Oryzias latipes: one gene and its partner. The protein of the gene in region 2 purifies or fractionates together with the protein of the main gene of each other region. This does not show direct contact. Links are inferred from orthologs where the notes say so. Each region holds a gene or a part of one and is shown on either strand. Other genes may lie near its edges. The genes, in order: ogt and asxl2.

What was found.
Region 1: the proteins of asxl2 (region 2) and ogt purify together in Homo sapiens (affinity purification with mass spectrometry; 3 studies listed by BioGRID and IntAct, with this or other methods). This does not show direct contact. The link is inferred for Oryzias latipes from reciprocal best matches to the Homo sapiens genes ASXL2 and OGT.

The regions. Positions count from the first base shown.
Region 1 is NC_019868.2:18,373,752-18,377,566, forward strand, and holds part of ogt (UDP-N-acetylglucosamine--peptide N-acetylglucosaminyltransferase 110 kDa subunit), read left to right. Parts: intron 1-1,019; coding exon 1,020-1,136; intron 1,137-1,215; coding exon 1,216-1,295; intron 1,296-1,519; coding exon 1,520-1,715; intron 1,716-1,800; coding exon 1,801-1,941; intron 1,942-2,032; coding exon 2,033-2,133; intron 2,134-2,212; coding exon 2,213-2,366; intron 2,367-2,466; coding exon 2,467-2,568; intron 2,569-2,649; coding exon 2,650-2,847; intron 2,848-3,091; coding exon 3,092-3,250; intron 3,251-3,323; coding exon 3,324-3,413; intron 3,414-3,532; coding exon 3,533-3,658; intron 3,659-3,736; coding exon 3,737-3,815. UniProt on the Homo sapiens protein: Catalyzes the transfer of a single N-acetylglucosamine from UDP-GlcNAc to a serine or threonine residue in cytoplasmic and nuclear proteins resulting in their modification with a beta-linked N-acetylglucosamine (O-GlcNAc).
Region 2 is NC_019880.2:117,086-120,900, forward strand, and holds part of asxl2 (putative Polycomb group protein ASXL2), read right to left. Parts: intron 3,748-3,815; coding exon 3,642-3,747; intron 2,155-3,641; coding exon 1,581-2,154; intron 997-1,580; coding exon 1-996.

The DNA of each region.
Region 1 (3,815 bases), on a different chromosome or scaffold from region 2:
TTGGAGTTGCAGCGTTCTGATGATGCAGTAAATGCGCTGTGAGTCTGCAGTAGCGCAGGGGCTGCGCAGCGATACCCTTCAAGCAACCTAAATGGCGGAAAGCGCACGCGTGCAACCCCCAACGCCCTCCCCCCTCATCCCCCTTGGCCTGTTTGGTTGCGGACCTCACCCCACCCAAAAACCAGCCTCGCTCCCAAATGCACCAAAACGCTCAAGACAGGATTTGTTATGACAAATGCGTTGAGCAGTTTTTGATTCATTCACCATCTATTGGCTTTCTGTTTTTATGATTAAGGACACACACAAAAATCTCTCCACAGTAAACTATGTTGCCTCTTCTGGCAATGCCCCCCAACTGTCTTGTTTATCCTTCCAAGCTCATGGCTGCAGAGTGTGTGCTAGTCTGGTGCTGCAGATTATCTGCCAGGGGTTGTTGGTCTGCTGCCGTTGTCATCCGGCCATTCAGCGAGCGCACAAGCGAAGTAAGAACTTTGCCAGGAGCAAGGTCATGCGAACAGCGATACATGGTGCATTGTGGTGTTGGCGGCAAACCCACCCAGCGCGCCTGCGTTGACTGCGCCCGCATTACAGGGACTATCACCTGCACTCACTGTTCCACATCCAAGGTTGTGAATGTCAGCACTGATCTACCAGCCTCTGCTTATTTTCAGTGTTTTCAGTGTTTTAATGGAAGGACAATAGATGGAATTTGAGGAAATAAGAGCCACTGTGTTTGATAAAAGGTGGTCATAACTTCAGGATGAGAACGTGAGTGTGGGTGCTGGTTGGATCCGCGCAGCGTAGGAAAAAGCTATGCAGCTTTGCGCGGCAGACTTCTGCGCCAGCGAGCCCATGCTGTAGACTCACTTTTTGCTATCATGGAGAGTAGTTACTAATTTTGCTATTTCTGCCCTTTTTTGTTTTTGTTTTTCTTTTCATTCAACCCCTCCCCTGTCTACTCCACCTCTCCTTTTCTTTTTTCCCCGTTTTCTGTGGTTTTCAATGTAAACCTACTGAAGGCTTGTTACCTGAAAGCCATTGAGACTCAGCCCAACTTTGCTGTCGCTTGGAGCAACCTCGGTTGTGTGTTCAATGCCCAGGGGGAAATATGGCTCGCTATACACCACTTTGAAAAGGTAAGAAGAATTGTTCATATCTATACACACTATTTAATAGATTTATCATTTAATGTTACTTTTATTTCCTTATTTTTAGGCAGTCACATTGGACCCAAATTTCCTGGATGCTTATATCAATTTAGGAAATGTTTTGAAAGAAGCTCGCATCTTTGACAGGTGAGTTTAAAGTATGAGCTTTATGCTCTTGCTTCAGGTTTACCACACCTTTATGAACTTAACATGGAGTTTGTGATATTTTTAATCCTGCAGCTCCAAAAACAGCTGTCCGATAAGGCGGTTTTAGTTAAAAGCTGTAAATCTTAAACTGTTGTGCCTGTGATGATTTGTGGAAAATAGCTTAGAAAGTTGTGAACATTCCTTGTTTGTCATGTTGTCTCCAGAGCTGTTGCTGGATACCTGCGAGCTCTGAGTCTAAGCCCCAACCATGCAGTGGTTCACGGGAACCTGGCCTGCGTTTACTATGAACAGGGACTCATCGACCTGGCCATCGACACCTACCGGCGGGCCATTGAACTGCAGCCCCACTTCCCAGATGCCTACTGTAATCTGGCAAACGCATTGAAGGAGAAAGGAAATGTAATGTCCAGAATTCACTGTAAACAGAATTTTACCTGTTTTTTTACATTTCTCATGACTTGACACCATAATGGATCCTTTCTAGGTGTCTGAAGCAGAAGAGTGCTACAACACAGCCTTACGTTTGTGTCCCACTCACGCCGATTCCCTGAACAACTTGGCAAACATCAAACGTGAACAGGGCAACATTGAGGAGGCAGTCCAGCTCTACAGAAAGGCTCTGGAGGTGAATTGATCGTTGCACGCTTCTCTAATTGTTTTTCTTTTGAGCAGATAAAATAAACGTAACAAATGGTATGGTGGTGTTTTTCCGTCAGGTATTCCCAGAGTTTGCAGCAGCTCATTCTAACCTGGCCAGTGTCCTGCAGCAGCAGGGCAAACTTCAGGAGGCTCTCATGCACTACAAGGAGGCAATCAGGTTAAGAAACTGTTGAGGCAGAAAGGATTGTCCGCTTGCACGTTCCTGTGTCTAAACATCTTTTCTTGTTCCATTTTAGAATCAGCCCCACATTCGCTGATGCCTATTCCAACATGGGAAACACTCTGAAGGAAATGCAAGATGTCCAGGGAGCTCTGCAGTGCTACACTCGTGCCATCCAGATCAATCCAGCCTTCGCTGATGCTCACAGTAACCTGGCCTCTATCCATAAGGTGGGCTCTACTGCCTCGTCCTTTTCTTTTAGGAAAGTCGGTTGTAAATCTGTTCATATGTGTTTACCTCAATATACAATTTTTGAATTATGTTCGGCAGGATTCTGGAAACATCCCAGAGGCCATTGCATCCTATCGCACCGCCTTGAAACTCAAGCCAGATTTTCCTGATGCTTACTGTAACTTGGCACATTGCCTACAGGTACTTTTAACTTCTGTTTTCATTTTTTCCTCAACTCCAAATTATAGATTTCTGCTTAGTTTTGACCTCCTCCATTTCCAGATTGTTTGCGACTGGACAGACTATGACGAACGGATGAAGAAGCTGGTTAGCATCGTGGCTGACCAGCTGGACAAGAACCGCTTGCCCTCGGTGCACCCGCACCACAGCATGCTCTACCCACTCTCCCACAACTTCCGCAAGGCAATTGCCGAGCGCCATGGAAACCTTTGCCTGGACAAGGTACACGCACTGATGAAAGCAAGTAACTTTTCATTTACATTTTGGGTGTTGAGGTTACTGGTGATGGCTCTGCCCGTCTGTGGGGATGTGGTGAAGGTAAGGGATCAACTGGATCCTGCTAGTGGGTTTATGAGGGCTGTGCAGATTAAGGGAATTTGTTAGCCGAAGGTTTCTGACTCGTGGTCTGTTTGTTGCCTGGAAAGGACTCATGGAACTCATTCTCTCCTGCATTTCTAACATCTTGCCGTTGCTGCTTCCATAGATTAACGCACTGCACAAACCTGCTTACGAGCATCCCAAGGATTTGAAAGCCAGTGGTGGACGTCTGCGCATCGGCTATGTCAGCTCCGACTTCGGAAACCACCCCACGTCTCACCTGATGCAGTCCATCCCAGGAATGCACAATCCAGAGAAGTTTGAGGTTAATGATCCTTTTGTTTTCTCTAGTCTACACTATATTTCTGTCAATTTTAACACCTGGTTTTTCTTCTAAGGTGTTCTGCTATGCGCTCAGTCCTGACGATAGTACAAACTTCCGTGTAAAGGTTGTGGCAGAAGCCCATCACTTCACAGATCTCTCCCAGGTAGCCTTTATGCTGTTTTGTGGCTCGTAACAGTCTCTTCTTAAATAATTTTTATGAATGTAACTGAAATGAAAAATGTTTTAGTTGTTTGTGAAGTGTTTGTTTTCTTTTCTCTGCAGATACCTTGTAATGGCAAAGCAGCTGATCGCATTCACCAGGATGGAATCAACATTCTGGTCAACATGAACGGATACACCAAAGGAGCTAGAAATGAACTGTTTGCCCTTCGCCCTGCTCCCATTCAGGTGAGCTCTTTTCCAGCCTGTTGAGAAGGTGTTCTGCTTTTGAAGAACGCTCTCACAGTGGTTCCTGCTGTCTAACAGGCCATGTGGCTCGGCTACCCCGGAACCAGTGGGGCTCCGTTCATGGACTACATCATAACCGACAAGGAGACGTCTCCCA
Region 2 (3,815 bases):
ACGCTCCCTGTTTTCAGGCGGCAGTTCTGGGCCCCCTTCCTGCTCCGTTTTCACCAGTACCGCCCTCCCTGCATCGTCTTTACTCTCCCTTTGCAGACCACACTCAGGCTTGTTTGGGGGGGGCGGCGAGTGCAGCGGCCTCCTGCACTCGCCGCCGCGGCCGTACGTGGACACATTCAGCAGGTAATGCCCCGTCATGGCGGGCCGAGGAGCCCTCTTCCGACCCAAAAACCCACAGGAGACCTTGGACAGCGCCTGCGGGTCCTGGGACAGCTGCCACAGTTTGTGTTGCGGGGGGGGCAGCTGCACTTTTCTCTGCATCAGAGTCTGCAGGATCTGCGCCTGCGTCTCCTTGTCGGGGAGCTCCCTGAGGACTTTGGAGCCCGCCGCGGGCGCCACCTGCTTCTCCGTCCAGAGCTCTGCAGTGGGCGGCGCCCTGGAGATGGGGGGCGGGTTTGTGGTGCGCGTGTCCCCTCTGGACAGCGGTTTGGGGAGGATCTGCTCTAAGGAAGCGTCTTTGCCCTGCAGCAGCTGAGTCACCAGAGGATTGTTTGCAGGGATGCAGGAGCTGCTCCGGACAGGAGGTCGATGTCCCGGGACCTCCTTCCCAGCATGTGAGGAGGAAGCCTGGACCTCCTGGGGAGCATCTCCAACCCCTTCTGGAGGACGGCCTCCATGCTTGTGGTTTGGTTGGCCCGGCTGGGGGGGCTGGCCCGGGCTGAGTGGGGAGATGGAGTCCAGAGGTCTCTGAGAAGGTGAGCTGGAATACTGGGACACCTCCTGGGGGGAGGAGGCGACGGAGGACGGCTGCTGCTGACCCGGCCCGGGGCCTGGCCCGACTCCTTTTGTCAACCCGGCCGCCGCCGCTCGCTGCGCTCGTGCCAGCTGAGCTTTGGCTTTGATGTCGGCCAGCGTACGCGCTCCGGTACGGCCCGGGCTGCTGAAGGGGGGGCTCCCCTGACCGGGTGACACAGGAAGAATCCGGGACACGGGAATCTGGAAGACAGGAAGTTCAGAGGAAATGACATCTGGAGCAAGTGAGGTCCTAAAGCCTGAAGTGTTCCGGTAGAACTACATGTTTGGACCGTCTGCTGCGTTTGCAAACCTTGGTTCCTTTTAAACAAAAAGAGTCCATCACTACTCCCCCTTTAGTGCAATACGAACGCATTCATTCATTTGTGGGGGTGTCCAAATAAAAATCCAGTGCTCTGGATATTTCCCAGAAGTCTTAGTGACAAACTGGTGTACATCGATGTTCACTAGACTGGTGAATATAGACCACAATGCATTGCGTTTGAAGGCTTGTTTTTTGCAAATGTATTTTTTTATAAACCATCTAAGTCTTCATCATCATAACCTGGTGGTTTATAAATGCTCACATTTATTAGGCGGCTGATGTCATATTTGGTGTTAATTGGGGATCATGTGACCAAATGGCATTAAAATCCATGTGGATCTAGTCTAGCAGGGGCTATGGAGAAGAGACAGCATATCTGCTTCCTGACGTTTCTTCTGTTCATGCGTTCATAAGAGCGCTCAGTGGGAACGCCGACTGCAGACGCTCCTCTGAGACCTCCTACCTTCAGAGGAGGGACCCTCTGGTTGGTCGGAGAGGGCGTGGCGGGGCTGGATGATGCTGAAGGAGACGCAGAGGAGGCTGAAGACGCAGAGGAGAGGCGAGACATTTTTTCTGCTCTCATCTCATCGTCCGCCTCACTAACGGACCTCCTCTTCAGGGATGGGGAGGGACTGCTGGGTGAGGGGGTTAGCTCCTGGCCATGAGCTGCAGGCGTCTCCTCCCCGAGATGCTCTTGGAGGTCTGAGCCCGTCTGCAGAGCGGCCTCAGTGTCATTTGATTCTTCCTCGTGCTCTTTTATGGGAAGTTTGCGAGGTGAGCTTTGCTCTGCTGGTTTCCAAACTTCAGATGAGTCTAGGGGTCCGGGCTCAGACGGGGGGGCTGCACATTTGGGCTCCTCTGCGTGCTCGGAGCCCCGGGTCTTCATCAGCTTACATTTGGCCTTCAGAGGGTTAGAGCTCACAGCTGCAGCGTCGGCTGTTTGGGTCCGGCTGGAATCTTCTGGCTTTTCCTCCTGGAACTTCTGATCCAGATTAGGCAGAGACAGCTCTTTGGATTCCTGGACGCTCAACCCCAACCTGCAGAGAAGAGTTTGAAAAATATCACTGCAAAGTGACCCTGGTTCTGTGAAGAAGACGACAGGGAGATTTGGACCGAAAAGCTTCTTCTGCATCTTCATGAATGAAGATCTGAAAACATCTTTCCTTCACACAGACATCTGCACCCCCTAAATCACCCACAGGGCAAAATGAAGCATGAAGTGGACTGACCATTTGACTGGAGTTAGCTCCGCCCACCTCAAAAGCACGCCAAAAATGGTTTAACAGCTGATGAAGAAAACAACCAACATCTTGAGATGTTGGTAGATTAAGATCAGAAATCTACTTTCTAAGAGTGATGCTGAAAAACTCATCCATGCATTTGTTACGTGGAGGCTGGATTACTGTAACTCCTTGTTAGCAGCGTGTCCTAAGAGTTCCTTAAGAAGTCTCCAGCTTGTTCAGAACGCAGCAGCTAGATTGTTAGCAGGAACCAGCAGAAGAGATCACATCACTCCTGTGTTGGTTTCACTTCACTGGATCCCAGTTGATTCTAGAATCAAGTTCAAGATCCTCCTGTTAACCTAGAAGGCCTTACATGGACTGGCCCCGTCCTATATTAAGGACCTCATAGTCCCTTACCATCCAATCAGAACACTTCACTCACTAAATGCAGGACTGCTTGTGGTTCCTAGAATTAGTAAAAGTACGGTTGGAGGTAGAGCGTTTAGCCACCAAGCCCCTGTCTTATGGAATAAACTCCCAGCTCATGGAAGAGAGGCCGACTCAGTTTCTACATTCAAAGTTAGACTGAAAACATTCCTCTGTGGACTGGATTATTGTCAGACTAGCTAGTATTCAGAGATTATTTAACTTAATGTTAGTGTGTTTAAATTAAACTTAATAACTATTTGTTTTTAGTAGCTGCTAGAAGTTGAAGCTGGGGTAACTATGGTGCTCTGGGGTTCTGTCCTCTTTTCTCATCTACTTCTACTCTTCCTCTCCTCTATTCTATTATTCATCATTTAGTTCTCCATGTCTCTGTTTGCTGCAGTGATTCATGGACTGTCCCCCCCCAACCACGGCTGGATGAAGCTCGTCTGCTGGACTTTTATATATGTAGTTGTAGATTTAGATAAGTTAATTCTTCTCTAAGAGTTCTGGTAAATCGCCTGTCCGTCCTGGGGGAGGATCCCTCCTTCATGTGGACACCCCTGAGGTTTTTTTAGGAGTTTTTCCCTACAGAGAAGGGGGGGGGGGGTCTAAGAGCAGAGATGCCAGTTTAGCTTAGTCAGTTTGTTAGTTCATTTTACTATTTTCCTATTGAACTCTATGTATTCATGATCCTTTTGAGTTCATGTTTCACTTTTTCAATTACCGATACGAAGCCCATCGAGACGACTGTTGTTGTGAATTTGGGCTATACAAATAAAGTTGAATTGAATTGAATCTAGGTGCATTCAGGACCAACAGACCTGAAATGGACCTTCTGTGCATCAGACATGGCATTGTTCAGGAAAACCTACTTTTCTCCGTAAAAGTTTTCAAAGAAGGCTTCTTTCCACAGCTCCACCTTCTTCTCCTTCTCAGTTTCCTGCCGTAGGCGGAGCTGCAGCTCCGGAGTGAACTCCCCTGCAACAGACAATGGTGTGTTCACCTGGAGGTGCAGCGTTCCGCTGACACCCCCATGAACGCCGTCG